Linked DNA regions of Macaca mulatta. The protein of the gene in region 5 interacts with the protein of the main gene of each other region in a pairwise test. Links are inferred from orthologs where the notes say so. Each region holds a gene or a part of one and is shown on either strand. Other genes may lie near its edges.

What was found.
Region 1: the proteins of RABAC1 (region 5) and ZFYVE21 interact in binary tests that used the Homo sapiens proteins (3 or more experiments, as listed by UniProt). The two-hybrid records come from large-scale screens. The link is inferred for Macaca mulatta from reciprocal best matches to the Homo sapiens genes RABAC1 and ZFYVE21.
Region 2: the proteins of RABAC1 (region 5) and RAB1A interact in a two-hybrid assay, tested with the Homo sapiens proteins (2 studies listed by BioGRID and IntAct). The link is inferred for Macaca mulatta from reciprocal best matches to the Homo sapiens genes RABAC1 and RAB1A.
Region 3: the proteins of RABAC1 (region 5) and MIEF2 interact in binary tests that used the Homo sapiens proteins (3 or more experiments, as listed by UniProt). The two-hybrid records come from large-scale screens. The link is inferred for Macaca mulatta from reciprocal best matches to the Homo sapiens genes RABAC1 and MIEF2.
Region 4: the proteins of RABAC1 (region 5) and SNX15 interact in binary tests that used the Homo sapiens proteins (3 or more experiments, as listed by UniProt). The two-hybrid records come from large-scale screens. The link is inferred for Macaca mulatta from reciprocal best matches to the Homo sapiens genes RABAC1 and SNX15.
Region 6: the proteins of RABAC1 (region 5) and SNX10 interact in binary tests that used the Homo sapiens proteins (3 or more experiments, as listed by UniProt). The two-hybrid records come from large-scale screens. The link is inferred for Macaca mulatta from reciprocal best matches to the Homo sapiens genes RABAC1 and SNX10.
Region 7: the proteins of RABAC1 (region 5) and RAB33A interact in binary tests that used the Homo sapiens proteins (3 or more experiments, as listed by UniProt). The two-hybrid records come from large-scale screens. The link is inferred for Macaca mulatta from reciprocal best matches to the Homo sapiens genes RABAC1 and RAB33A.

Annotation. Positions count from the first base shown.
Region 1 is NC_133412.1:177,149,243-177,153,272, reverse strand, and holds part of ZFYVE21 (zinc finger FYVE domain-containing protein 21), read right to left. Parts: intron 3,140-4,030; coding exon 3,064-3,139; intron 2,957-3,063; coding exon 2,865-2,956; intron 2,256-2,864; coding exon 2,202-2,255; intron 1-2,201. UniProt on the Homo sapiens protein: Plays a role in cell adhesion, and thereby in cell motility which requires repeated formation and disassembly of focal adhesions.
Region 2 is NC_133418.1:59,625,933-59,629,962, reverse strand, and holds part of RAB1A (ras-related protein Rab-1A), read right to left. Parts: intron 2,830-4,030; coding exon 2,734-2,829; intron 509-2,733; coding exon 377-508; intron 118-376; coding exon 1-117. UniProt on the Homo sapiens protein: The small GTPases Rab are key regulators of intracellular membrane trafficking, from the formation of transport vesicles to their fusion with membranes.
Region 3 is NC_133421.1:19,848,490-19,851,712, forward strand, and holds the end of MIEF2 (mitochondrial dynamics protein MID49), read left to right. Parts: intron 1-259; coding exon 260-1,314; 3' UTR 1,315-2,338; downstream 2,339-3,223. UniProt on the Homo sapiens protein: Mitochondrial outer membrane protein involved in the regulation of mitochondrial organization.
Region 4 is NC_133419.1:9,347,672-9,351,701, forward strand, and holds part of SNX15 (sorting nexin-15), read right to left. Parts: intron 2,900-4,030; coding exon 2,784-2,899; intron 2,688-2,783; coding exon 2,540-2,687; intron 2,230-2,539; coding exon 2,086-2,229; intron 1-2,085. UniProt on the Homo sapiens protein: May be involved in several stages of intracellular trafficking. Overexpression of SNX15 disrupts the normal trafficking of proteins from the plasma membrane to recycling endosomes or the TGN.
Region 5 is NC_133424.1:52,997,892-53,002,462, reverse strand, and holds RABAC1 (prenylated Rab acceptor protein 1), read left to right. Parts: upstream 1-1,601; 5' UTR 1,602-1,667; coding exon 1,668-1,723; intron 1,724-2,004; coding exon 2,005-2,217; intron 2,218-2,613; coding exon 2,614-2,711; intron 2,712-3,843; coding exon 3,844-3,945; intron 3,946-4,028; coding exon 4,029-4,117; 3' UTR 4,118-4,266; downstream 4,267-4,571. UniProt on the Homo sapiens protein: General Rab protein regulator required for vesicle formation from the Golgi complex. May control vesicle docking and fusion by mediating the action of Rab GTPases to the SNARE complexes.
Region 6 is NC_133408.1:102,074,523-102,079,255, forward strand, and holds the start of SNX10 (sorting nexin-10), read right to left. Parts: upstream 3,087-4,733; 5' UTR 3,010-3,086; intron 2,924-3,009; exon of another isoform or gene 1,936-2,923; intron 1-1,935. UniProt on the Homo sapiens protein: Probable phosphoinositide-binding protein involved in protein sorting and membrane trafficking in endosomes. Plays a role in cilium biogenesis through regulation of the transport and the localization of proteins to the cilium.
Region 7 is NC_133426.1:136,626,218-136,630,822, forward strand, and holds the start of RAB33A (ras-related protein Rab-33A), read left to right. Parts: upstream 1-1,422; 5' UTR 1,423-1,675; coding exon 1,676-1,933; intron 1,934-4,605.

The DNA.
Region 1 (4,030 bases), on a different chromosome or scaffold from region 5:
ACTGTCAGTACAAAGGCCCAGTGCCAGGGAAATGCCACCCCAGCCTGGTCACGGGCCATCTCCCCAGACCTAGGGGACCCAGACTCCCCGTCTTTGGGCAGCAGTGACCAGCTGATCCAGTGACAATGACTCAATTCCAGCACTTGCTCCAACAATGAACCGCTCAAGAGAGCGACTCCTCAGGCAGGGCTGGAGTTGAAAGAGACCCATGGGATGCAGCCTCCCATGAATTTAATGACTTGGGAGGGAAGCCCCATCGTGAGCAATCGCTGACCTCTCGGGAGACCCCTCCATCAGACACACATCCCCCCATCAGCACCCAGGGCCGGCTCTTCTGCCGGTTGGTGGAGTGGGCGTCAAGGCTGCAGCTGCAAGCGCCGGAGGCCCCGGAACCACACTTTTCCTTTCTTCCCCTCCCCCCACCCCCGCCCCCGCGACACAGTTTTTGTTCTTGTTGCCCAGGCTGGAGTGCAGTGGCCCGATCTTGGCTCACCGCCCCCTCCGCCTCCCGGGTTCAAGGGATTCTCCTGCCTCAGCCTCCTGAGTAGCTGGGACTACAGGCATGTGCCACCATGCCCAGCTTTTTTTTTTTTTTCTCTTTTGTAGTTTTAGGACAGACAGGGTTTCTCCATGTTGGTCAGGCTGGTCTCGAACTCCCGATCTCAGGTGCCCAACTCGGCCTCCCAAAGTGCTAGGCTTATAGGTGTGAACCACCGTGCCTGGCTTTTTTTTCTTTTTTTTTTTTTTTGGAGTCTCTGTCACCCAGGCTGGAGTGCAGTGGTGGGATCTCGGCTCACTGCAATCTCCGCCTCCTGGGTTCAAGCGATTCTCCTGCCTCAGCCTCCCAAGTAGCTGAGACTACAGGCGCCTGCCACCATGCCTGGCTAATTTTTATATTTTTAGTAGAGACAGGGTTTCACCATGTTGGCCAGGATGGTCTCGAACTCCTGACCTCAGGTGATCCACCCGCCTCAGCCTCCCAAAGTGCTGGGGTTACAGGCCCCCACCATGCCGGGCCTCTGGAACCACATTTCATAAGCCCGGTTCTATGGTTAGGGCACACCCACCCAGCCCCTACACTGGGGAACCTTCCCTATCAGTGTAACGTCCTGCCTGGGCTCTAGAGCAGAGTGACCTGGCTCTGTCCACCGCCTGCGTTTGCTTGATAAAGCACCACTGGACCAGAGCCATGGCCGTCTGTCACCCTGTCTTCTGCAGCTGCCTCCACCTTACCACGGCACATGGGGCTGGCAAAGGTTTACTATCTGGCCGTGAAAGAATGAGTGTGTGGCCTGCCCTACAGGGCCCAGGCTGGCAGGCGGCCCCCTGGCTGCCTTCAGGTCAGGGGACTGTTACTACTGTCCCCGCCCCCACTGGAAGACGGTGCTGGGGTCTGAAGGGCTCTACTGAGACTGTGCAGAGTGGGGCTCACTGCACCCCCCAAGCCATCACAAGGGGACACAGTGCCAGAAGCCCTGGGGAGGGTCAGCCCAGGAGAGCAGTCCCGGAGGCTCCATTGCCCCGGCCTCAGGAGCACTGGATGCCCCTAAGCACTGGCCTTCATCTGAGCCTCAGGCTCCCCAGGAGGAGGCAGGCAGAGAGGGGTGCTTGGGGTGACCCCCGCTTCTCCAGACCCTACCCTTCGCACCTGGGCGTCTATACCACGCAGCCTGCTCAAGGCAACCAGCTTGACACCATCCCGGCTCCAAACACGTCCCTGAACTCAGGACAGAGGTGGCAAAACACTGGCCTGGGCATCTCACCTCATCATTCAGGAGGCTGACAGAAGTGCCAGGAGAGTTAAGGGTCCCAGGAGGCCACATTGAGCTGGGGAGTGCCAGGCCTCAGTGGGAAGGGCAAAGTTGGGAGAGGCTCCCGAGGGCAGGTGAGCCCCTGTGAGCACCCATGCCCCCTGGCCTCAGCCAGTTCAGGGCTGGCAGGTACTGACAGAGAGCTGTCAACTGCTGGGTAACCCTCCCCCCGAGACAGAACTGAGAAAGTACATCTGCTGCGGTATCTTCATTTATGCTTTAGAAACCCACGTACCAGACCCAACATCTCTCTTAAGTCAACCAAAAGAAGTGAATCCAGGTTTCACAAAGAACCCTGGCACGGACCACCCCGTGGACAGAAGCCAGGTGGCGAGGGGAGGAACGGGTCCGCCGCATGCAGGGAGCCCCGGCGAGGAGGAAGAGGCTGACCTTCAGAGGCAGGCTGGCTCCCCAGGAGGCTGGTGTAAGCGTGAATGTCTTTTTCTATGGCAAGAAGGTGGGCAGGCAGTGGCGAGAAGGAGCACCCAAGAGCCGGTGAGAGAACGGAAAGAAAGCAACATGGGTTACGGCACGCGCATCTGTCAGCACAGTTTGCAGATAACAGGATGCGAGCTCCCCGTCAGCGGAGTTTAGTGGAGAGGCCCAGGCTGGGCCAAAGCTCACCAGGAAACGCACCAGGGGTTTGGTCTGCACAGACGCCTGCAGGAGGAGGGCTGAAGTGCTGGCTCCCGATGAGCCACCACTCAGACCTTTCTGGGGATCTCAGTTATTGCATTTGGGGCTTTATCCTTGGTTTGAGTCCAACAATAAACGGAATGATACATTACAGCATTTAGAGCAGAGGAAATCATTACGACATGCTGAGGCAAATTTCCCTTTGTTGTCTTACGGTTTAAGTCTCCACTCACCTGGCGAGTTCTAAAGCCACTGAGTAAATACACGCCCCCCAAAGAGGAAAGGCAGGCTGTCCTGGAGACCCAGCAGACCCCGTTCCTCAGGGTGGCTGCCTGATCCCAAAAGTGGACGCTCCTCTTGTCACCCATGCATGGCACCAAACCCTCCTGGCTTAGGAAAGGACGTGCTGGCATTTACCTCCAGGAGGGAAGCCTTCTGTGAGGAGCTGCACGGTGGAAATGTGCACAATTTCGATTTCATAGTGGCTGTCTCCATCCAGAAACAAGTATCTACATCAAATAAAAGTGTCCAAATCGGGTCACTCTCAGGCTCAGTGCCACCGAGGCTCCCGGTCTGTGACAATGCTGCCCCGTGCCAAGCAGGATCTGGCTCTTACCTCTGGTTATTGGAAAGACGACAAATCATAGTTTCGGGTTTCTCTGAGTTTCCAAACGTGACGAGGAAGGTGGCTCCTTGGGAACACAAAAGCAAATGTGAGAACAGGGTCTGCTTCTTTTCCACCTAACCCTTCCCACGAGTACCAGCAGGAGACGCACACACAGAGGACAGAGTGAAAACATCAAGAAACAAACCACAGCTTTGTTCTAAGGACCTCTTCAGCTGAGCAAAAAGGCAGTCATGGATCAAGGGTTTAAGAGGTAAACGAAAAGGTCTGCTCTAAACAGGTTCTGCTTGCTTACAAAGCTCCTAGAAATTTTTTTACATCCTTCAAAGGATGCAGGGAATCCATCACCAAGGTCCAGATCAAAGAACAATAAACCCCTCTGCTCGCAGGTCCTAAGAGCTGGCAGGACCAAGACAGCAGAAAGGAAGCACAACAAAGCCCACTGTCCAGCCAGGCACCATGCCCGTTTCACACAGGGCGGAGCTGTGGGCGGGAAGGCAGGTGGTCCCAGACCCCATGGCGGGCAAGCTGGGGACAGGAGGCTGGGACGGAGTGGCCAGAGGTGGGCGGGCAGTGGGGAGAAGGCGCTGCTCAGAGATTCCGGGGAGGCACAACATAAGCCCCCGGAGAACGCCCTTCTCCCACACCAGGTCCCCAGAGATGGCTCAAAACCGGGTCTGCATCGTGCTACCGGGCAAAGGTCTACGGACCCTCATCGAGGAGCCACGGTGGTCGCAAAGGCCCCAGCGCCGGCGCCGGGTTCCACCTGGGGGAGGTGCTGCCTGGGCCCAGGGCCTCCCCTCCCACCTGATGGACGTGCCCAGCGGAGTCAGCACCCACATTTTAGACGACATTCCAACTCTGAAGAGAAGGGAAGGCTCTATAACTGCTTCTAAACGAATCCAGAAGAAAACAGGGAAGGGAGGGAAGGCGAGAGAACGTCAAAGAGAAGCAGAAC
Region 2 (4,030 bases), on a different chromosome or scaffold from region 5:
TCCGGGACCCATTCGCTTTTTAATCTCAGCTGCCATCGTCATGAAAGACTGTTCTACATTCGTTGCATTCTTAGCACTGGTTTCCAAAAACGGAATTCCAAGGGAATCAGCAAATTCCTAAGAGAATAATGAGGCACAATTAACACTGAAAAATCTTTTTCACTACTACTTAGTGCATTTCTACCATCCATAATGGAGCATGAGGAACTAATAAGTTCATTGGATCCAAACAGATGTTACACGAATTGTCACTGTCACAGTATTCTAGTGCACATATTTTTAAAAGTTAAGGTGGCTGTGGCCTTAGTATTACTGCAGAGCCCATACATAATTCAACACCTTCAAATTCAGTATGAAAATTAAACTTTAAACATACCTTTGCTGTTGTGTAGTCTACTACTTTCTTTGTGGTCAGATCACATTTGTTCCCTACCAACAATTTGTTGACATTTTCACTGGCATAACGATCTATTTCCTGCAGCCACTGTTTAACATTATTGAAGGACTCCTAAAAAGACATTTGAAAGTTTGATAATATGGTTCTGGAATAAATGGAAACAACCTTCCTGACCTAACAGACAAATAACAAAGAGCTAGTGAGACAACTCTAGGTACAAAATAACCACTGCTAAGGAGTGAAGGGGATTTTTTTTTTTTTTTTTTGAGACAGGGTCTTGCTGTGTTACCTAGGCCAGGGCGCAGTGGCACAATCACAGCTCACTGCACCCTCGACCTCCCAAGCTCAAGCCATCCTCCCGCTTCAGCCTCCGGGATAGCTGGGACTACAGGCACATGCCACCACACCTGGCTATTTTTTTTTTTTGGACTTCTTGTATAGATGGGGTTTCACTATGTTGCCCAGGCTGGTCTCAAACTCCTGAGCTCAAACAATCGGCCCACCTTGGCCTCAAAAATGCTGAGTTTACAGGTGTTAGCCACTGTGGCTGGCCGTAAACAGATATATTAAAATGACTATAAATATCTAAATGATGACAAACTAGAATTTACAGGCTTAATGATGAAAATACCTTATTTGAAAGGGACAGCTTAATATTAAACTGCAACTCAGGCAAACCCAACTGCTTTGGAATATGCAATTTAAATGTACTACAAAACCTGGTTTTGAAATTTGATAATTTTTTTTTTTGGGGGGGGGGGGGAGACAAAGTCTTGTTCTGTCATCCAGGCTGGAGTGCAATGGCACGATCTCGGCTCACTGCAACCTCTGCCTCCTGGGCTCAAGTGATTCTCCTGTCTCAGCCTCCCAAGTGACTGCTAGGATTACAGGCACGCGCCCCCACACCTGGCTAATTTTTGTCACGCCTGGCTAATTTTTGGTTTGTTTTTTTGTTTTTTCTTTTGGAGACAGAGTCTGGCTCTGTCACCCAGGCTGGAGTGCAGTGGCCGGATCTCAGCTCACTGCAAGCTCCGCCTCCCGGGTTTCCGCCATTCTCCTGCCTCAGCCTCCTCCCGGGTTTACGCCATTCTCCTGCCACCTCGCCCGGCTAGTTCTTTGTATTTTTTAGTAGAGACGGGGTTTCACCGTGTTAGCCAGGATGGTCTCGATCTCCTGACCTCGTGATCCGCCCGTCTCGGCCTCCCAAAGTGCTGGGATTACAGGCTTGAGCCACCGCGCCCGGCCTAATTTTTGTACTTTTAGTAGAGATGGGGTTTTGTCATGTTAGCCAGCCTGGTCTCTAACTCCTGGCCTCAGGTGATCCACCCGGCTCGGCCTCCCAAAGTGTGGGGATTACAGGCGTGAGCCACTGCACCCGGCTTGAAATTTGATAAAATTTTGGTTTATGAATAAGATGACCTACTGTTACTACTAGACATGTCAAAATGTTATTAAATATACTTATTTTCTTATCCACAGTCATATTTACAGGAGGAAAGTTTTCATTTAAAAGTATTTCACGGCAATATGACTAGAGATTTTTTTAAACTAGCATCATTTTTTTCTCTTGCAGATATCACCCACCCAGCACTTCTAATGGCACTGAATCAAAATGTTTACATGTAAGTTATCTCCTAATTAGCTATGATTTCATATTAGAGGTGAGATTTAACATTTGCCAAAAGAAAAATAAATTCCAATTTTGAATGTTTCTCTTCTGTCCTTTGATAGAAAGGACATCGAAATCTAAGTTTCTGATTAAAAATAATAATAACAAAAAAACAGTTATGGCCCCTGGAGTACATGCTTCACTGTCCCAGATTGTTCCCTCCATCACCCTGCCCTCTCTCACAGCTAATCTTCAGATACTCATTCTCATACTAAGATCCTCCTACAGCTTATCCTATTCAAATCCTTTTTTTCTGAACCACATCCTCCACAGGCAGAGACCCGCAAATCCCTCTTTTAGCAATTCTGATTACCAGGCCATATTCCTGTTAACAACACCAAGAATACAATATAAGTCAAGCAACTCACGATTCCCTACAAACTCTTGCCTATATGTTAGAGTCTTGGCTATTTGATCAGTTATTTAGTTCATAATAAATACAACCAGAATCCCTTGAAAGCAAATGTAAAACTTATTACTAATGTTCTATTTATTACAGGAAAAAAAATGTCTTTTAAGTGATTCACATTTATATTTGAGTGGACAAAGTTTTCTGCCATAAAGTTAATACTGATGGCTTATATGCGAAGTAGTAAATGAATCTTACATTAATCGAATAATGACTTCCTACTTGGTCACTGTAACACAATCTCCTCTTGGAACTTACCTGATCTGTCACATCATACACAACTATGATGCCATGGGCTCCTCTGTAATAACTGGAGGTGATTGTTCGAAATCTTTCCTGGCCTGCTGTGTCCCACTATTACAAAACAATCAAGAAATCCAAACAATTCCATTAAAATAAAGTTGGGGAAAAGTGTAGGAGGGAGGGGAAATAGTTTAGTTTTCATAACTGTGGAGATTATCAGGATGTGATATAGAAACATTAGTCCTCAACTCATACCACTATATTGCACAGTAATAAGTACCTGGAAGTCCAGAAAAGAAGGTAGTACCTACAACTGAGCTTACGATAATACTAAAATTACAAGCTGTTGAGAGCAGGAAGTATGTCATACTTTTCACATTCCCTACCGCCTTTAGCACCATGTTGAGGAATGTCACTGGCCTAAAGCCCTTGAACACAGAACTCTTCCATGTAAGACAAACTCACTTGCTTGCACATTCTACCATGATTAAATTAGCATTGGAGGGACCTGATTCAAATAACTACCAGTCAAGACAGAACTTTAATTATCCCAAGCAGGTGTCTTTTTCTTCCCCCCTTCAAGCAGGGTCTCAGATCTGTCATCCAGGCTGAGTGCAGTGGCATGATCATGGCTCACTGCAGCTTCAACCTCCCCAGCTCAAGCAATCCTCCCACCTGAGCCTCCTGAGGAGCTGGGACTATAGGTACATGCCACCACACTCAGCTAATTTTTTCTTTTTTGTAGAGACGGAGTTTTGCTATATTGCCCAGGCTGGTCTCAAATTCCTGGACTCAAGCAATTCTCCCAAAGTGCTGGCATTACTGGCATGAGCCACCATGCCTGGCCAGGTGTTGTCTTCATCCTAGAGAAAACAATGTAAGGAAGATGATTCCAAACACTTTTATAAAATGTATTTTAAGAGCAACTTAACTGCCTTTCAACTAGTTAGGCTCAAATTCCAAAAACAAATGCTAACATTATTGCATTATAGTTCTGGGTTTAAAAAAACTGTTGGGGCCGAGCGCGGTGGCTCAAGCCTGTAATCCCAGCACTTCAAGAGGCCGAGACAGGTGAATCACGAGGTCAGGAGATTGAGACCATCCCGGCTAACACGGAGAAACCCCGTCTCTACTAAAAAACACAAAAAACTAGCCAGGCGAGGTGGCGGGTCCCAGCTACTCAAGGGGCTGAGGCAGGAGAACGGTGCAAACCTGGGAGGTGGAGCTTGCAGTGAACTGAGATCCGGCCACTGCATTCCAGCCTGGGCAACAGAGCGAGACTCTGTCTCAAAAAAAAAAAAAAAAAAAAAAA
Region 3 (3,223 bases), on a different chromosome or scaffold from region 5:
AGGCCCACAGGGGCGTGACTTACCTACCTACTCTGCATGAAGCTGTTTTAGCCATAGGGCCAGGGTGTTGGACTCTGGGACAATGAGAACTCGTCACCAAGCGCTCACTATATGTGAGGACCTGAACTGAGTGCCTTCTCAGGTGCTATTGCAGGTGAGGAAAGTGAGGCCCTGGGACGTCACACAGCTAGCTGTCGGTGGTGTTTTCTTAACTAATCACAGGCTGTTCCGACATGTTCCCCGCCCCTTCACTCTGCAGAGGGGCCTGCAGAAACTGGTCCTGAGGTGACACCACAGCTCAGCTCCCCAGCACCGCTGTGTCTGACACTGCAGGAGAGGCTGCTGGCCTTCGAGCGGGACCATGTGACCATCCCAGCAGCCCAGGTGGCTTTGGCCAAACAGCTGGCTGGCGACATTGCCCTGGAGCTGCAGGCCTACTTTCGGAGCAAGTTCCCGGAACTGCCCTTTGGGGCATTTGTGCCTGGGGGGCCACTGTATGATGGGCTGCAGGCAGGGGCCGCGGACCATGTGCGTCTCCTGGTGCCACTGGTGCTGGAGCCGGGCCTATGGAGCCTGGTGCCGGGCGTGGACACTGTGGCGAGGGACCCTCGCTGCTGGGCCGTGCGCAGGACTCAGCTTGAGTTCTGCCCCCGCGGGAGCAGCCCCTGGGACCGCTTCCTGGTCGGGGGCTACCTCTCTTCCCGCATCCTGCTGGAGCTACTCCGAAAGGCGCTGGCTGCCTCTGTCAACTGGCCGGCCATTGGCAGCCTTCTTGGGTGCCTGATCTGGCCCAGCATGGCCTCAGAGGAGCTGCTGCTCGAGGTGCAGCACGAGCGCCTGGAGCTCACCGTGGCTGTGCTTGTGGCAGTCCCTGGGGCCGATGCTGACGACCACCTCCTCTTGGCCTGGCCCCTGGAGGGGCTGGCGGGGAACCTCTGGCTGCAGGACCTATATCCAGTGGAGGCTGCAAGGCTGCGAGCCCTGGACGACCATGACGCTGGGACCCGCCGTCGGCTGCTGCTGCTGCTGTGTGCTGTCTGCCGTGGCTGCTCGGCCCTGGGGCAGCTGGGCCGGGGTCACCTGACCCAGGTGGTCCTACGTCTGGGGGAGGACAATGTGGACTGGACGGAGGAGGCCTTGGGTGAGCGCTTCCTGCAAGCCCTGGAACTGCTCATCGGCAGCCTGGAGCAGGCCAGCCTGCCCTGCCACTTCAACCCCAGCGTGAACCTCTTCAGCAGCTTGCGTGAGGAGGAGATTGACGACATTGGCTATGCGCTGTACAGTGGCCTACAGGAGCCTGAGGGGCTGCTGTAGGTGGGTGGGAACGGGTGGCTGGCGTGTTTTCTAATGCTGGGAAGCTGCGCCCACCTCCCTTCCGGGGATTTGAATAGTGGTTTTTCTCTAGCTTTTAGCCAGAACAAAAGAGGGTACATTACTTAAACCCAGGGCATCGGGATGTGCTTGGGCTATGGTGGCCGTAAACCCTGAGCCCAGAGAGCTTGGGTCACTGTCACCTGAGTACGGCTGGGCTGGCTCAGGCAGCTTGGAGTGCCAGCCATTTCTGCAAGCACCTTTTCAGCCCTTGGGGCCAACCCCAGGACCTTGGCTCTGTCCATCACCAGCAACCAATCCACCGACAGAATGTGGTTTCTGCCATCCTGGGCAGAAGCTAAAGGCCAACTTCACATTTCTGCTGAGAGAAGGCGACTTACCGCCTTCTCCGGCCCCAGCTCCAGGCGTTTTGAGGCCTCTGGTGCCTGGTGGTAGGTATGGTGTGTTTGTTCTGTCCCCCGGGCGCTGGAGTCACCTGGTGTCCCTGAATGACAGCTTTTTGGCTGTTAAAGGATGGCGTTTTCCTGCTGTCTTCTGTGCGTTTAGTTTTCTTGTTGTGTTCTCGAGCCCTGGAGCAGGAGCTCAGTGTGACTTGCTACCCACCTGATACCTCAGGGCAAGGCCCTTTTTCCCTCCAGCCAGGTGAGTGTTTTCTTCAAGCAGCTGAGGGCCCTGGGGGAGCTGAGGCTCTGTGCTGCGCCCCCAGCCCACAGCTGGGGCATATCACTGGAGCTCTTCCAGGCCCCACTGGAGAGCAGAGGGCCTGATCCCCCACCAGAGGGGTCCGGTGTGCAGAGCCGGCCTCCCAGTGTGCCAAAATGAACTGCTCTCAGCCGATGGCTGTATTCTGACTTTGAAGCCCGTTAGAGGTAGCAGGGGGGCTAGAGGAGGGAGATTCCACCTCCCTTCCCAAGTGATCCTCCTCCTGCCTCTGGTATCCTTCCTGCTGAAATGAAGCTCTGCTTCGAAGAGGTGAACAAGAATAAAAGAAAATTCTAACGTGTAACTCAGGCTGGATAAGGGGGTCTTGGCGCTTTCACACGTAGCTGTTGGGGGTTTTCTGTAAGTCCTGTGGCTTGTCCTGGCACTTAGGCAAGGGTGCTTGAGGTCAATTGGAGGTGGTAGAGTTTACTTTAAAAAGTAACATCTTGGCCGGGCGCGCTGGCTCAAACCCATAATCCCAGCACATTGGGAGGCCGAGGCGGGTGGATCCTGGGGTCAAGAGATCAAGACCATCCTGGCCAACATGGTGAAACCCCATCTCTACTAAAAAGATAAAAATTAGCTGGGTGTGGTGGTGGGTGCCTGTAGTCCCAGCTACTTGGGAGGCCAAGGCAGGAGAATCGCTTAAATCCGGGAGGTGGAGGTTGCAATGAGCCGAGATCACACCACTGCACTCCAGACTGGCGACAGAGCAAGACTCTGTCTCAATAAATAAATAAATTAATTAATTAATTAAAAAGCATTTTGGCCAGGTGCCGTGGCTCACGCCTGTAATCCCAGCACTTTCGGAGGCTGAGGTAAGTGGATCACCTGAGGTTGGGAATTCAAGACCAGCCTGACTAACGTGGAGAAACTCCGTTTCTACTAAAAATTCAAAAAATATTAGCTGGGCGTGGTGGTGCATGCATGTAATCCCAGCTACTTGGGAGGCTGAGGCAGAAGAATTGCTTGAACCCGGGAGGCAGAGGTTGTGGTGAGCTAAGATTGCGCCATTGCACTCCAGCCTAGGCAACAAGAATGAAACTCTGTCTCAAAAATAAAAAATAAAAAAAAATCATCTCAGTCTGTTTGGGCTGTGATAACAAAATGCCATAGACTAGGTGGCTTATAAACATCAGAAATTTATGTCTGACCATTTTGGAGGCTAGAAGTCCAAGAATGAGTCACA
Region 4 (4,030 bases), on a different chromosome or scaffold from region 5:
TGAAACCCTGTCTCTACTAAAAATACAAAAATTAGCCGGGCATGGTGGCGGGCACCTGTGATCCCAGCTACTCGGGGAGGCTGAGGCAGGAGAATGGCGTGAACCCGGGAGGCGGAGCTTGCAGTGAGCCGAGATCGCGTCACTGCACTCCAGCCTGGGCGACAGAGCGAGACTCCGTCTCAAAAAAAAAAAAAAAACAACAACAATAACAAAAAAACACAGCCTTACCTTCCTAATTATGTCATTAGGTACACACTCACTTTAGTTTGTGAGCTCTGGGTCACTGGTCCTATTTCCCTCTTGACTCCAGTTGACCTAGAAATCCAAAAATCCCCTCCAGAAAGTTTCCCTGAAGAATGCTAGGCCAACAACACCAGGCTGAGGGTAGAAATGCTCCAAGCCTTGGAATAATCTTAGAATAGGAGACTTCGAGAATCTCAGGGGTTTTCTGAAGCCTTGCAGCTCCAGGCTCTGGGGACTCTCCCCATGGGCTGAGTGAGTCTCACTGGAGCTGCGTGTGAAGGGTCTTGAAAAGATCCTGGTTGGACAGTTGCTCATGCCTATAATCCAGCGCTTCAGGAGGCCGAGGTGGGAGGACTACTTGAGTGCAGGAGCTTGAGACCAGCCTGGGCAACATAGTGAGAGCTTGTCTCTAGAAAAAATCAAAAACTTAGCTGGGCGTGATGGTGCATGCCTGTGGTTCTGTCCCAGCTATTCGGGAGGCGGAGGTGGGGGGATCGCTTGGGCCTAGGAGGTAGAGGCTGCAGTGAGCCACGATCACACCACTGCCCTCTAGCGTGGTGACAGAGCCAGACCCTATCTCAAAAAAAAAAAAAAAGAAAAAGAAAAAGAAAAAAAAGAAAGGAAAAAAAAAAAAGAGAAAATAGAAAAGCTCCTGCCCAGGCAGGCGCTCAGCTGACACAAGGACAGAGCACTTGGATGCCTGCCACCCAGAGGCCAGACACAACAGCCCTGTGACACCAACACTGCCTTTCCCTCCCATTCCTTCTTCCCACTCCCCAACCCTGGAGAGGCAGTAGCAGGAACAGGAGGAAGCAGAACGAGAAAAGTGAGAGGCAGGGCACTTTGGCTCATACCTGTAATCTCAGCACTCTGGGAGGCCGAGGAGGGTGGATCACTTGAGGGTCAGGAGTTTTGAGACCAGTCTGACCAACATGAAGAAATCTCATCTCAACTAAAAATACAAAATTAGCCAGGCACCATGGCGTGTGCCTGTAGTCCCAGCTACTCGGGAAGCTGAGGCCAGAGAATCGCTTGAACCCGGGAGGTTGCAGTGAGCAGAGATTGCGCCACTGCACTCCAGAATGGACAACAGAGTGAGACTCTGTCTCAGAAAAAAAAAAAAAAGAATAACAGACATGGGCTCTCGCTATATTGTCCAGGCTGGTCTTGAATTCCTGGGATCTCCCTGCCTCAGCCTCCCAAAGTGTTGAGATTACAGGTGTGAGCCAATGTGCCAGGCCTTGGCGAATTTTAGAATGAAAAACTCCAGTGCCTCAGAGCTTGGGACTGTCAAGTCCCAGGATCTCACAGCAAGAAGGTGCCCAGGACCCTAACCTCCATCAGGGGGCCCTTCAATCTCCGGCATCCCCAAATGCCAGTGGCTCCAGGCCCCCAGAGGGGTTTCCCTTTGCAGCTGCTCTTTGAGCTCAGAACTCACTTCCATTGACCAGCAGGCTTCTTGCCTTCAGGATCTGCAGCCAGACCCTGGCCAGCCAGGAAATCCCACCACGAGCTTACAGCGAAGGAACTAAAATGTCCCAGAGCAGTGTGACCCGGCTCTTTCCAAAGCCTTCTCAGTGAGATGGCCCCAACGTGGGAAGTGCCTCCTTTCCTTCCTCATGGCTACTTGTTGCACAGGTGCATCCAGCACACCACACCACGAGCCCTGGCACGGAGCTGCTCATTCTCACTGAAGCTGCTCTTGGTCCACAGGGCAGCACTACTGAGGGGACGTCTTTCCCAGATCTGCGCAGGCACTGAGCAGGCTAGTGGGGCTCTGCCCTCCTCCCTGTCCTAAGGATGTCCTGCCCTGGCTCCTTCCCGGCTGACCCAGCTCATTACCTTCTTTGGAGAAGGGGTCGAAGAGGGCCAGCTCAGCCTCGGTGAGGGGGACTCGGGCAGGGGAACCAGACGCTTCCTCGGTGCTCTCACAGTTAAAGAGAAGATCCAGGGCCTCCTGGGCAGGGCTGGATGGTGGGGGGTCCACTGAGGAAGAGATAATTGGGGTCATGAATACCCGCATTTATTTCTCAGCTTTCAAAATGGAATTACTCTCTCTCTAAACCCTTGCAGCAACCATGGGCATAGACAAGCCCGTTATTAGGGTTTATGCCCATTTTACAGATTAAGAAACTGTAGTGCAGAGAAGGAAAAGGACCTGCCCAAAGTTCCTCAGCCAGTCAGTGATAGACCTGGACACACGCCCATTTCTCACTAAGACCACTGAGGAGTGAGTGTGGCCCCCTCCCCACTCTGTACCCTCCAGCCTTGGTTCCCTCCTCCCACCCTGATGTACCTGGCACCTCCAATTCCTCAAGGCCCCTCCTTTCTGCAGGGAGCGGCTGGGGTAGCCGGGGGTCATCAGGGGGCGGGGTGGGGATCAGAGGGGGTGGCAGGATGTGCAGGTCCCTGGACATCTCCGAGGGTCGGGTCACCTCCCCACCCTGCAGGACAGAAAGATCAGCCATGGGGAGTCATGGGGTGCAATCTGGTGGGTGGGTAAGTGGCCCAAGTTCTGGTAAGGTGGAAGGTGCACATACCCTGAAGAACTCCTTGAGCTGGGGGCTGTTGTTGAGCGCAGGTATGTGCACGGTGAAGCGAAGCAGGTCCTCTGCCCCCTTTCGCCGCTCCTCGATCACTGAGGCTTCAAATCGGCCTACAGCCCCCAGGACAAGGAACAGGGGAGAGTGGCGGTGACCTATAGGGGCTTCTGCCCTAAGGCCACTTTTCCTGGTCCTGCCTGAGATGCTCTGAGCAACTCACTGCCCTCCTACCCCTTCTCCCAGGAATCTTCTCTGGCTCCTCCTGGGGTGAGGGAGGGGCTTCCAGGACAGATCAATTTCCCTATTCATTCATTTGCCAGATGTTTACTGAGCACCTACTATATGCTAGACTCAGAAGGTGAACAGGGGAGGAACAAGTCTCTGCCCTTGTGAGTATCACATCCTACACAGGGGGAGCTAGGTAGTTAACAAGAAACAAAAACATTTCTGATGGCTTTGATCTAATGAGGAGAAAAGTAAGGCTCAGAGAGGGAAAGTGACTTGCCCAAGGTCACACAGCAAGTAGCCCCCATTTGTTTTTTGAGACAAGGCCTGGCTCTGTTATCTAGGCTGGTGTGCAGTGGCACAATCTCAGCTCACTGCAACCTCTGCCACCTGGGATCAAGCCGCCCTCCTGCCTCAGCCTCCCAAGTAGCTGGGACTATAGGTGCACACCACCATGCCTGGCTAATTTTTGTATTTTTTGTAGAGATGGGGTTTTACCATGTTGCCCAGGCTGGTCTTGAACTCCTGAGCTCAAGTGATTACCTTGCCTTGGCTTCCCAAAGTGCTGAGATCACAGGTGCGAGTCACAGTTTCACTGCTCTGTCCTAGGTATTATGCAGTGCAGGCTAACTCTGGTCCAGTTACTGTGTGGCCATTCTGTGGTACTTCCCCACTGGCCTGGCATAACCTGACAACAGCAATCTTTCACCTTGCCTCAAAAGAACAAAAGAACATCTTGGCCAGGCGTGGTGGCTCACACCTATAATCCCAGCATTTTGGGAGGCCAAGGCAGGTGGATCACTTGAGGTTAGGAGTTCAAGACCAGCCTGGCCAACATGGTGAAACCCCGTCTCTACTAAAAGTAAAAAAATTAGGTGTGGTGGCGCACACTACTTGGGAGGCTACTTGGCTACTTGGGAGGCTGAGGCAGGAGAATCACTCAAACCTGGGAGGGCAGAGTTTGCAGTGAGCTGATATCATGCCACAGGACTCCAGCCTGGGTGACAGAGTAAGACTCT
Region 5 (4,571 bases):
ATTCCAGGCCAGGTGCGATGGCTCACGCGTGTAATCCCAGCACTTTGGGAGGCTGAGGCTTAGGTGGGCGAATCACGAGGTCGGAGTTCAAGACCAGCCTGACCAACGTGATGAAACCCCGTCTCTACTGAAAATACAAAAATTAGCCAGGCATGGTGGCACGCACCTGTAATCCCAGCTACTTAGGAGGCCGAGGCAGGAGAATCGCTTGAACCCAGGAGGCGGAGGTTGCAATGAGCAGACATTGTGCCACTGCACTCCAGCTGGAACAACAGAGCGAAACTCCGTCTCAAAAATGAAAAAGAAAACCCGATTCCACTAAAAGCCTGGGGGTGACAAAGAGGAAATAAATAGTAACTAGCCAATCTGATCTTCAAAGTGTAACTCTTCCATCTTCAGTGTGGGGCCCTTGCAAAGGGCTTCCCTGCCTATTGCGCCACCAGCCCCTTGGACAGGGCCATCTTCCCCCCACCTCCTGGGAACGCCTTCCAGCAGGCTTCCAAGCACAAACCCTGAAGTGCCGTAGATCTTGGAAGACAAGACCTGGGCCTAAAAGAGTCACTTGGGGCCAGGCACAGTGGCTCATGCCTGTAATCCCAGCACATTGGGAGGCTGAGGTGGACGAATCCCAAGGTCAGGAGTTCGAGACCAACCTAGCCAACATGGTGAAACCCCGTCTTTACTAAAAATACAAAAAATTAGCTGGGCATAGTGGTGCACGCCTGTAATCCCAGCTAGTTGGGAGGCTGAGGCAGGAAAATCGCTTGAACTCAGGAGGCAGAGGTTGCAGTGAGCTGAGATTGTGCCATTGTACTCCAGCCTGGGCAACAAGAGTGAGACTCCATCCCAGAAAAACCCACAAAACTTCCCAACCTTTTCTCTTTCCCAATTTCACTCCCTCCTGTCCAAAGGTGTGTGTGTTTGCAGGTGGGGGGGGGGGTGGTGGCGGTGCGGAGGTGTCCCTAGTCCCAACTCATTCATCTTTGGGACTCCACAAAGTGGGGCAGGGGGCAACCTCAGATACCCCTCCAGCAACCATGACCCACTCACTAGCCTCAATCTCTTGAGGAAGGAATCAATTCCCACAAACTCTCTAAATCTTTCTACTCAAAATGTGGTCCATGGACCAGCGGCATCAGCATCACCTGGGAACTCAGAAATGCGAATTATGGGCTCCACCCCAGACTTGCTGAATGAGAACATCTGGGGTGGGGCCCAGGAGTCTGTTTTAGCAAGCCCTCTAGTTGTTTTTTTATGCCCTCTAGAGTCAGAACGACAGCTCTGCACGGTCCCCATTGTGCCCTGCCTGGGAGAGTACACAACACCCTCTTCTGCCATTAGAGCTCCCATAACGCCCTCTTTCCTGACAGCGCACCTGCACCCTCCTGAAACTACAGGTCCCACAATGCCCAGAGGTGCGCGCCGTCACTTTCTGGGATTATATCTCCCAAGGTGTCTTGCGAGTCAGACCGCCATCATGGCGCCCACCCTCCCAGCCACCGTCAGGACTACAACTCCCACAATGATCGGCGGCAGAACTACAGTCCCCAGCTGCTCCCGAGCGGCGCCACGTCGACTCCGCTGGGTGGGGCCGGCCTCGGGCGGGGCCGGCGGGGTCTGCAGGGTACCGGGCTGGTTACAGCAGCTCTACCCCTCACGACGCAGACATGGCAGCCCAGAAGGACCAGCAGAAAGATGTCGAGGCGGAAGGGCTGAGCGCCACGTGAGCGAGCCGGCTCTAGGCCCTCGGACCCGAGGCCCGGGAGTCCGGGACCCTGGCCCCCTCCTCCCTCGAGTGCCCGGAGTCCCAGCCCCGAGACGCACAAGCGCTGGCCCCGGTCTCCTCTAATGGGACCCTGGCGTCTGGGCCCCTACCCCCCTCCCCGCCTGTGATTCAGTAATCTGGGGTCCCGGGAGGGAGTCCAAGCCCCCTTAAACCCCTTCTTTTGCGGGGGTCTGAGGCTCCATCCCGGTCCACCACTGACCCGGCCCCACCCCTCGCAGGACCCTGCTGCCGAAGCTGATTCCCTCCGGTGCAGGCCGGGAGTGGCTGGAGCGGCGCCGCGCGACTATCCGGCCGTGGGGCACCTTCGTGGACCAGCAGCGTTTCTCACGGCCCCGCAACCTGGGCGAGCTGTGCCAGCGCCTCGTACGCAACGTGGAGTACTACCAGAGCAACTATGTGTTCGTGTTCCTGGGCCTCATCCTGTACTGCGTGTGAGTGCATCCCGGGCCCTGCACCCGCACTAGCCCCGACCGGGTGGACCCCTCCTCTCACAGCTCAGGCCCCGCCCTTCAGCGCCCGGGCCCTCCTCTCACCACCCAGGGCCCCCTCCTACCGCCCAGGCCCCTCCCCTCACCGCCCAGGCCCCTCCTCTCACCGCCTAGGCCGGCCCCGCCCCCAAGGATTGGCTCTGCTAGACCTACTTTGTCACCAAAGGGCCAGGTCCCTACCCCACCATCACCCTGGCCAGGATGCAGTGTGACTGAATGTCACCTGGCCCTCCCTGGTCTCCAGAATGTAGCTTGCCTCCCGCCGGTGGAGAAGGCCAGGGCTCCCTGGCTGACCAGCCCCAGCTGCCTAACCGCTGCCTCCCTGCACTCCTCCTCCAGGGTGACGTCCCCTATGTTGCTGGTGGCTCTGGCTGTCTTTTTCGGCGCCTGTTACATTCTCTATCTGCGCACCTTGCAGTCCAAGCTTGTGCTTTTTGGTGAGAAACCCCCTGCCCAGATGAATCCTTGGTCCCTCGAATCTTGGTCTTTTGGAATGCAAACCTCAGACCCCAAATCCAAGTCCTTCAAAACCCAAGTCCGCCGAAGCCTAGATGAACACTAGATCTCCCAAACCTGATCCTTTAAAAATCTCAGACACAACCGATGCTCCCATCGAGTCTCAGCCCCCTCAAATTGCTATTCCTCAAACCTAGGCTCCACCTGGCTGCTGTGCCTTAAACCTACTCCTCTTCAAACCACATGACTCCTCCCCTCTCTCCTCCCCTTGCCGCTTTCTGCGGCAAGCATCAGCTGCAGGTGCCCACACTGGACACCAGGTGGCGAACTTACACTGGCCTAGATCTGTTCCCGTTTCTTTTCCTGCTTTCTGGGATGTGACCAGAAAGAACTTGGAACTTGGGGAAGCTGAGGAGTGTGTTTCATGTGGTTCCCAGACTAGTACCAAGGACCACTGGGAGAACAAAATGCCAGGGGAAATTCCCCCCAGGGGAAAATCAAGGTTTGGAGTGGGGTCAAGGAGTTGGGATTGGGCTGTCAGGTAGACCTGAAGGCCAGGCTCTTCAGGGGCCTGCAAGTTATGTGCATGACGGGCTTAGGGGGAGGGAGCGCCTGCAGCACAGGCACCAGAGCATGCAGACCCCATCCCTGAGACTTCTATGAGAAGCCTGAAGTTGGTATTTTTATGTGAAATCATTCACTTTGCCAGCCACAAATCACATCCTTGTAAAACATCTCAAAACAAACACACATCCACAGGTCAGATTTGGCCCTTGGGCCACCAGTTTGAGACCCCTGGTCTGCGTGAGGGTTGCAGCAGGAGAGCCCTAGTCTAGGGAGCAGGAAGCTGGGATCCCAGGAACTTCCTGGAGGATGTGGGGCAGAGGGCAGAGCGTGGGGCTGAGGCAGGCGAGGACGGTGTGCTGTGTTCTGGAGGGCAGTGAGGACACCAGGGGAGCAGGGTGACCCCAGGACCTGGAGGGCCTTGGCATGAGGAGTTTGGATTTGATCCCGAGGACCTGAAGCTTATACAGATTGTTGGGGGGCAGCAGGGGTTACTCTGGGAGAGGGCATGAAGGGTCGGAACAGCGCCCCAATGCCATCTGCTTTCAGGCCGAGAGGTGAGCCCAGCGCATCAGTACGCTCTGGCTGGAGGCATCTCCTTCCCCTTCTTCTGGCTGGCTGGTGCGGGCTCGGCCGTCTTCTGGGTGCTGGGTGAGTACAGGGTCTGAGCAGCTGGGGTGGATGGTGGGGGCCAGGTACAGGAGCATGGCCCTGAGCTGCCGGCTTTCCTGCAGGAGCCACCCTGGTGGTCATCGGCTCCCATGCTGCCTTCCACCAGATTGAGGCTGTGGACGGGGAGGAGCTGCAGATGGAACCCGTGTGAGGTGTCTTCTGGGACCTGCCAGCCTCCCGGGCCAGCTGCCCCGCCCCTGCCTACTCCTGTCCTGCACAGCTCTGCTGCTCGGGCCCATAGCGCCGTCCCATCACAAGCCCGGGGAGGGATCCCGCCTTTGAAAATAAAGCTGTTACGGGTGTCATTCAGGAAATACTCCCCTAGCATCTTCTGTGGGTCTCTATGGGTGCAGCTGGGAATACTGTGCAGATCAGGGTTGGGGTGGAACCTGGGGTGTGGGCAAGATGATAAGGTAAACAGGTAAAATATTAATGGGATGCCCAATGGTGGTGAGTGCTGAGGAGGAGAAAAGAGTTGAGAAGGACAGTGTGCCGGGGGTCCCCGAGACCACCCCCGGGTTTGATGGTTCTCTAGGACTCGGGAATCAGAGAGCACCCCAGGTTTGATGGTTCTCTAGGACTCGGGAATCAGAGAGCACCCCAGG
Region 6 (4,733 bases), on a different chromosome or scaffold from region 5:
TTAAAAATAACAGAGACTACAACAGAAATACATACAGAACCACAAAGCCTTGAGTAAAGTTGAATCACTTATAGAACTAAAAGCATCTCTTCTGCAGAAACTGGGGGCAAGGAGTAGTTACTTAGGGAAAAATATATGTAAGTATCAACAGAAGTTGCCCTTGATTGAAGCTTGGCTAAGCCCTTTACATTCGCAGGTGGGTGGCTGAGAGTTACTACTGATTCCAGACCCAGGCTCCTAGTTCAAATTTTGGCTCTAGCATTACCAGTTGTTTGACCTGGGGCTTTGTGCCTCAGTTTCCACATCTGTAAAAAGAAATAAGAAGGGGAGAAAAACAATACCTATCTCAAGGGTTGTTAACGTACTTAGCACACTTGTAACAGGGCCTGCCACACAGTAAGCCCTAGATAACTATTAGCTTATAATAGAAATCTGACACACATTTGTTGGGTAGTTAAAACTGTAAGCTGAGGAGTTTAGAGAAATCATAAATACTTTGATGCCTTAGTTTCCCCAGACGTAAACTGAAGACAATAAAAGAATCTGCTTCATAAGTCTGTTGTGATGCTTAATGAGACTGACACATAAAAACTCTTCCACAATGCCTGGCCCATAAGTGCTCAATAATGTGACAATGCCTGGAATATAGTAAGTGCTCGATAAATGTCAGCTGTTGTATTAACAGTTCTAGGAGGCAAAGATTACCATCGCCCTTTTTTAATTCTGAATAATAGACAACTCAGAGAGTGTTAAGTGCCCTGCCAACAAAACTATACTCAGAAAAATATTATACCAAGATTTCAACTCAGATAGGTCTGGAATCACAAGTTCTAACCACTATACTGTATACCTTCCTCTTTGAACAGGACTTAGAGAACAGAAGAGCTAATTCATACCTACCAGTTTACTAAGAGAAAGATGTTTGGAGATAACAATGCTAAATTTGGTGGATTCCCCACAGAGTCAACCACGAGCTTGGCCAAAAGCCCTTCTCCGCCATGCAAATGAGAATCTGCATAGACTGAACCCTGTTCTCAACCAGTTGTCTGCCTTTCGCCAAGTGGTTGTGAAACCACAGCCCTGTCACCAAAAATGGAAAAAAGAAGTCATTTTCCCCAGTAGCTTAACGAGCAAAATGAAGACTTAAAGTAGTGATCCCAGGGCTGAGAAAAGATATCCATTGCTCCAAAGCCAAGCAGAATTGCTGTAAAACACTAACGTTACTCTTTGATTAACATACTTTTATTTATTTTTTTTTAATGAACGTGCTTATTTCTATTATTTTAGGTTACCTAACTCAGGGGTACTTCCCATTAGTAAAATAAGAGGAAGTGTGTACCAGCCTGTAGGGGAGACTCCCTGGTGGGGCACAGTGTCAGACTAAGCAAGTCCCACTGTCAACACTGATGTCCTCCCCAGTTAAATGGTAATCAAAAGTGAAAATGAAATGGACTGGCAGAAGAAACAGGACGACCGGTCGAGTCCATGCTAATCACTGACATTTCACATCTTTTCACAGTTTCTTCTACTTGTATTTTATTTTTGTATTTTTATTAAAAACTGCCCTATCAGTCAATCTCAAGTCTACCCTTCCTTTAAAAAACAGTAATAAAAAAACCCTGTAATCCTAGGCAGGTGGATTGCTTGAGCTCAGGAGTTCCAGACCTGCCTGGGGCAACATGGCAAAACCCTGTCTCTACAAAAAAATACAGAAGTTAGCCAGGGTTGTGGTGGCCCGCACTCGTGGACCCGTGGTCCCAGCTACTCGGGAGGCTGAAGTGTGAGGATCACTTAAACCAGGGAGGCGGAGCTTGCAGTCAGCCAAGATCGCACCTCTGCAATCCAGCCTGGGTGACAGAGTAAGACCTTGTCTCAAAAGAAAAGCAAAAAAAGTAAATAATATTAAGAATAATGAAGGTCCAGCTATGTACCTACCTTAGGAACAGGCATCACTGCGAAGTGATGGCAGAGGCAAGGCAGGAGTCCCTGACCTCACCTCCATTCTCTCACTAAGAAGCCCCTGCAGAAGCTAGTCAACTATCAAAGCAGTCCCTGCTTCTTCCCAGTGAAGGCCTCAGCCTCCAGCCCAGCCCCCTCCCGGGAGAGGAGGGGCAGTTTATGCAATCCAAAACCAGTTCCCAGGCCCCAGAGGTGGACGTCTCCGGGGTGGAAGTCAGAAGCCCGCCAGGTTGTAGGCCTGGTTCTGCTCCCATCTGGCTGAATGATCCCGGTCACAACACTCGGACTCCCTCGGCCTTAGCCTCCCTGTCTGTAAAATGAAAGGTTTGATGGAGATCATGTGCCAGCCTCCTCCCCGTTCTAATTTTCTGATACCATCATTTTTAACGTGTCTTGCAGAGATAGAAGCCCTTCCTTTCAGCAGGACATATTGCTCCCCATTTCATGACGATCCCCCTCAATTATCCGTGTAATTTGAGAAAAGTATGATGCATCGGAACTGAAAAACAGGCTGTAGCTTTCCTGGTCACCAAATCTGATAATCAGTCAATAATATGGGTTTTCCCTCGGGCCTTCTCCCTCAATCCCACAATCCCACGAATAAACCTGCCTACCCCTCCCAATTCCTCAACTCAAAACTACCCGTTCATGAATTAAAAAAAAAAAAAAAAAAAAAAAAAAACCTCCCCACCCCCTTCTATCCAGCCTAGTGTAAGGTGCCACAGCACTTCTTCCGTAATCTAGAATCCACCTCTGCCCCACCCTCTCCCCGGGGTGTCTTTTTAGCCAGGAATCCCTGGATCCACACGCTCCATCTCCCCGCTCTGCCAAGCCAGTTGATCATTTCTCCCTGCCTGGCACCCGGCACACCTCGGCAGAAAAGGAGGCGGCGCCTCCACTCCAAGCCCAAGGGACCCAAACCTCTTTCCAACCCGCAAGGGTGCGGGCACCTGGGCGCAGCGGGAAGGGCCCGCGCCTCTGGAAAGAAGGGCCGCCGTCCCCACAAGGGCGGCGTAGGGGAGGCCCGTCAGCGGGTCTCTTGTCACTTACGGGCGGCTCCTCCGGGCAGAGCAGACCAGGGCCGGGCCGGGCTCGCGGGCAGCGGAGTTTGCTGACTCAAAGGCGCGCGGCGGCGGCAGCGGCGGCAGCGGCGGCGAGCGCCCAGGAGCGCACACGAGCGCAGCCCCGCGCTCCCCGCGCACGTAGCGGCCCCGCGCCCGCGCTCGGCGCCAGCAGTCCGCCTGTGGCCGCCGCGCCTAGTGCTTCCGCCGCCCCAGCGCAGCCCAGCCCAGGTGCGCCCCCGCCCTGTCGAGCTAGCCTCCTGCTTCCTGATATTGAGTTAGGGAGGAAATGCCCCCATTAGCCGGGAAGCTGAGGCTGGAGGTGATCCAGCAGCACCCTTCGGAATTCGCCACCTGAGTCACCTTAAGCTTCCTAATCCCCACCCCACAGTTATGGGGAGGATTGCCGATGTTGAGGGGAACGGATAAATAACGTGATAAACAAGAATGGCAGAATGTTCGTAGCATCTAGGTGGTGGGCTTATGGGTGTTTATATAAAATTACTTCAATTTTTGTCTGTTTGAAATGTCTCTTAATGGCGGAGCTTGCAGTGAGCTGAGATCCGGCCACTGCACTCCAGCCTGGGTGACAGCGCGAGACTCCGTCTCAAAAAAAAAAAAAAAAAAAAAAAGAAATGTCTCTTAATAAAACATTTGGGGGGAAAGCTAATGAGATCTGCCAAGGGACCTGACTGAGGAAAGCATTTCCCAAATGGCACCTGAGGCTGGGTCCCCACACCTGTTTGCATGGGAAACCGCAGCCATCACTTAAACTGCTAATAAGTGACTGAATGACACAGAATAATACACGTAGCCTAATATTTCATTTTCCAAGCATGAATTTTCCCATTAGACACAGTTTGTCGCTGATCATCCTCCAGGGACCATTCCAGGCCCACCTGAAAATGCATCTGTTCACCACACCTACATTACCTCCCTAACAAAATGTATAAATATGCAATGTTGTGTCTTAACATCTTGGATCTTGAAGCTGTATTGCTGAACCCTCAGTCATTGGTATTTAATTTCCTAAAATTGCACCCAAGTGATGACACACAAGTGAATGCAACCATGATCACTTTTGAAAATCAAATTAGGCCGGTGCGGTGGCTCACGCCTGTAATCCCAGCACTCTGGGAGGCCAAGGCGGGTGGATAACAAGGTCAGGAGATCGAGACTATCCTGGCTAACATGGTGAAACGCCATCTCTACTAAAAATAGAAAAACCGAGCTGGGCGTGGTGGCACGCACCTGTAATCCCAGCTACTCGGGAGGCTGAAGCAGGAGAATCGCTTGAATCCGGGAGGCGGAGGCTGCAGTGAGCGGAGATCATGCCATTGCACTTCAGCCTGGGCGACAGAGTGAGATTCTGTCTCAAAAAAAAAGAAAGAAAATCAAATTAAAGTGTATTTTTTATATTCTTGTCCCTATGCTCCACAAAGAAAAACATTGAGTAGAAAACAAAATGCAGCATGTATCTAAGATCCTAAGAGATTCTGTAAAATTAAAATCTTTCTGAACTTATTGTCAAGAGCATGACTTTACAGCTGTAGACAAAGCAGCAACGAACCCTTGGAGAGTCTACTGACAGTCATTTGAATATCTGTTAGAATGATGACCCTATTAAGAATGGTAAATTGCAACCTGAATCCAGGAAACTTAAGTGATGGTCACCTTTTTTAGGTTGTGGCATTTTTGTTATACCATCAGTGA
Region 7 (4,605 bases), on a different chromosome or scaffold from region 5:
TCCCTGACCTTGATCGCATTAGCAATAACTCACAAGTCAGTGCTAGTGACATGTGTCAGTGTTACCTTAGCTTATGAAATATGTAGGGGGAGAGATGAAGTCTTAAAAATAAATGGGTGCACTTTATCATATGTAAATTGTACCCAATAAAGTCGATTTCAAACAAATTCTGAATCTGCGGATGACTTTAGGGAGAGGGAATACTGGTCTTGACCAAGATGTGTGTGATGATTAGTAAGCTTTGGGAAGCAGCCCCCTAATATTGTAAGGAGATTGTGTTCATTTATCATCTTCCAAGCATAATCTAGGCTTCTGGCAAATTAGACTCAACCACTTTGTTCTACATTCAGCTGCAGGGGGAGTGAACCCTCCTAGGGATTCCCAACTCCCTCTGAAACTCCACCCTTCTGGAAGGACTTACGGTTATATGGAGGGCTTGGGAGTGGAAGGCACTGTGGAGCTTATGCCATGTCCCAAGATCCTCCACCTGGGCCAGTAATGGCTAGCCCCATAAACAAAGTCCCCTTTTGCTGGAACTGCCACCACTAGCTTCCCCCCTTCTCCTAGCCTCTGTGTGGCCCTCTCCCGCGGCGAGCCTTCCCCATTGGCCAGCCAAACACAACCGACTGCGGCAGCCAATAGGAGCCGCTCTCCTGAACATTCAGAGGATGGGTGCTCGTGGTGTGATGAGGGGATGTTGGCGCCTGGTACGCGCCCCCCTACATCTGGCAAGTCTGTGACAGAAACAGTAACACCCCCTACACACGCACACGCGCGCCCGCTGGCTCCCTCCTCTCAACTGTGCAGGCCCGGGACAACCCACTGCGTGTCTTGGCAGCGCCCGCTCAGGCTGCCTGGGGCCCGTGAGTGCACCTGCTCACTCAATAAGACAGAACATCCCTTTATCCCAAGGCGCGGGTCGGGTAGAGGGTGGGGGTAGAGGGGACGGGGTAGCGGGGACCGGGAAGGCGCGGCTCAGCTGCCGGCTGCTCCCGAAGTGAAAGAGGTGCCTTAGCCCCCACCCCATCCCTGCAGAGTTGCGTTGCTCCAGGGAGGCCGAAGTGATCCAGTGATGCCTTAGGGTGCAGCTCTTTGTCCTCCCCAGCTGTGCTCCCTGCCCGCTGATCCCGTGCGCTCCGAGCCAGTGGGGGTGGGGAGCCCGAAACTTATAACATAAATGGGGGCAAGGAGAAAGAAGTCTATCCCGGGGTGGCGTGTGCTGCTGTCCCCACCCCCTCCCTTTCCTCCTGAGGCTTCTTCCCTCCGGTCGGTCTCGGGGGTGCAGGCAGGGGAGAGTGTGGGCCGAGGCGCGGCGGCGGCTGGAGCAGCGCCGTAGGGTCCTTCGCCAGAGCATCCGGTCCGAGGGCGCACACAGGCAGAAGGCTCGCTGCTCGTCCACTCTCCTCCCTCTCTCCTCCTCTCCCTGGCTTTTGTGTTGGTGCCTCCGAGCTGCAAGGAGGGTGCGCTGGAGGAGGAGGAGGGGGGCCCGGAATGAGAGGCACCCTCTTCACGCGCGCGCGCACACGGTGCCGGCGCACGCACACACGGGCGGACACACACACACGCGCGCACACACACGCGCACAGAGCTCGCTCGCCTCGAGCGCACGAACGTGGACGTTCTCTTTGTGTGGAGCCCTCGAGGGGGGTTGGGGCCCCGGTTCGGTCCGGGGGAGATGGCGCAGCCCATCCTGGGCCATGGGAGCCTGGAGCCCGCCTCGGCCGCTGGCCTGGCGTCCCTGGAGCTTGACTCGTCGCTGGACCAGTACGTGCAGATTCGCATCTTCAAAATCATCGTGATTGGGGACTCCAACGTGGGCAAGACCTGCCTAACCTTCCGCTTCTGCGGGGGTACCTTCCCAGACAAGACTGAAGCCACCATCGGCGTGGACTTCAGGGAGAAGACCGTGGAAATCGAGGGCGAGAAGATCAAGGTGATCCCGGGGGTCAGGTCCAGGAAGGGAGGGACCTGGGAGGGGACCTCGCCCGAGGCATAGCTGTAGCGGTTGTCATCGTCCAGCGTCCCAGCGCGTGGCGGTTTCGCCTCTTGCTGAGCCGAGGACCCTCGGCCCCTCCTCACCCCTTTTCACCTCTCTCAGCGGGGTCCCGTCCCCATATCACTCAGTTTTTTGGGGCGGTCGAGAATGGTTGCATTCTTACCCTTTGCTCCTGCCTGACAGGTCCTGCCAGGAAAAGCATGTTGGATCCCATCCTTGACCCCTAGCCCGAGCAGCGGCACCTGTGGGCAGAGGGAGGCAGGAGGCATCTCTGGGTCCTAGTCTGTGGGATGGATCCCAAAGCACTTTACACATCCTGATGTCTCTTCTACCGCTTGGGTGCCGATAGGCTGCAAAACCCCACTTCAGCTAAGCCTCAAGTCATTAGAGGGAAGGAAAGGATGGAAATCCATGGAGAATGAAAAAGCTGCTTTATTTTAAATTGCAGTTTATAGTTAAGATTAGGGCTGAGTTGAGATGGGGGTGGAGTGAGGTGGTTCTGGCAGAAAGCCATGAGCCCTTTTAAAGAAATTGAGGCAGGGTCACCAGCCAGCCCTTTGTAATCAACAAAACTTGTTTTTTATTGTAACAGGCCCCCTGGAATGGTATTTTCTTTACTTGTCTGGGGTATCTAATACATGAACTGCTCCTTATTCATTCTGTTGGTATTGTCTTCAGAAGGTCTTTGTAAAAATGCAGTGACTTAACCGAGGGCCAGGGAAATGCTCAATCCTCCCCCTCCATGAGTTTATGTAATAGGCTAAGTGCAAATATTCTTGTCTGACCATTTGTGCTCACCTTTAATTCAGAAAAGGTAGAAACCTGATATGACACGAATATGTCAATGTGCAGGGCATGGAGGGAGGGAGGACATAACAAGGGCAACTTCCTGTGTCAGGGGAGCAGAGGGGGGCCTCTATAAAGGCAATGGAATCACTGAAGACAACTCCTCTAGGCTCACAGCTGGCCTTTCCTTGAGCGTATGGTTGGATCCTAGACAGAGTCAGGGGTAACAGTAAGCCTCCTTCTTGCTGGTCAAACGGCCAAAGTGACCACAAGGCCCCTCCTCTGAGTGACGTGGAGAGAAGGGCTGAGTAACTGATGAAACACTTGAAACTGTGCAAGACTCTGACTCCTTGATTATTAAAATGAACATGTTCTAAAAATGGCTTCAGAAACTGGGCCAACGCACTAGATGTCAGGAAGATGGACAGCTCAGTACTGATAAGGGAGAGCCCCAGGGTCAGGAAGATAGAACATTATTTTGAAATTGTGATCTTTTTTGCCCCTTGCATTTTGAAGGGGAATTGCTACATTTCCTTTTAAAGTCAAAGGCAGCATCTTGTCTTTGTCCTTTCCTGGGGCTGTTGACATTTGCTTGGTTAAGACTTCCTCTAGTGTGTCTGGCTTCTTTAATGTAAGGCTATACGATTCTAGAATTTCTAAAACATGCCTTTGTAATCCAAAGTAGAAATATCTTTACGGATGGGCTCTTAAACCCTCAAAAACCTAATGCTCTCATTTGCTTAAAATCAAGTGTTACAGTAAGCCAAAGAGTTCCCTGGATTTAAAAGGTGGGAAATAAGCCCATCTGAAATTTAAATGGAAAAAAATGAAGTGTTTGGGAATCTAAAGAAGGAGGGAGGAGGAAGCTAGAAAGTGAGGGATGGGAGATGAACACGAGTGGAAGAGTCACCACCCAGTGGTCTCGGAGGAATTTTTAAACCATTCCTTCTCTTCTGACACCCCAGTACTTAGCCAAACTGGACTTTACAGTCTCTGGCAAAGATTCCAGACTTTTTCCCAGAGGGCAGAGCCTGTGACAGTGTGACTCACTAGAAACAGAACTCAGCACAACACCACGTGCAGATAAGTGCTTAATACAGGCTTTTTTTGGGAAGATGATATTTTCAAGAGGACAAAGCCTTGTGACACTGCTCATGGAGGAGTCCTCTGAGGGCAGATTCTGAAGGAGCTCAGAGCAGCGTGTGAGAGTGGGGAGATGGTGACCCTGCTTCTTGTAAAGCTGCTGCAGTCTCAGGACCAGAGCTGGCAGGCGAGAGACCAGCATGTCTGTGGGAAGATGGCAGGGCCTGGCAGCTAGCACGTGATCTAGATAGGAGAAGATTTGGCCTCACACTCTGGCTAGCCTGAAGTTGTTCAAGGAATACATGCCAAAGCCATGCTTGGAGATGACTGCCAAGGGCTTTGCCCTTTGGGAGAGAGAGAAAAGTCCGGTGTGACAGTCCGAGGTCTGGCCTAGACCATGGCCAGCAATAGAAGGCTTTTGGGCTGTAACATACCAGCCCTTGCAGGAGAGTGGTAGAGAGGTCTCAGCCAGTTCTTCTCAGTCTAAGAGCAACGGTGTGGCCTCTTTTGGGCTGACTGCCTGTGTCCCGGGGTAGCACATACATGAACCCCTGCTAGGGACAACTGATTTGGTGTAGTTAGAGTCACGCTGTAATTAATTTTCAAGGCCATCCCTAGGGTATTGAAGCCCCATTTGCTGTCTCCAATCATTATGTTCCCCACCCTCACCCCATCAAAGCATTTACAACTGAGTCCTGGTGAACTCAATTGTATGAACACCAAGAAAAGCCTCCAATGAG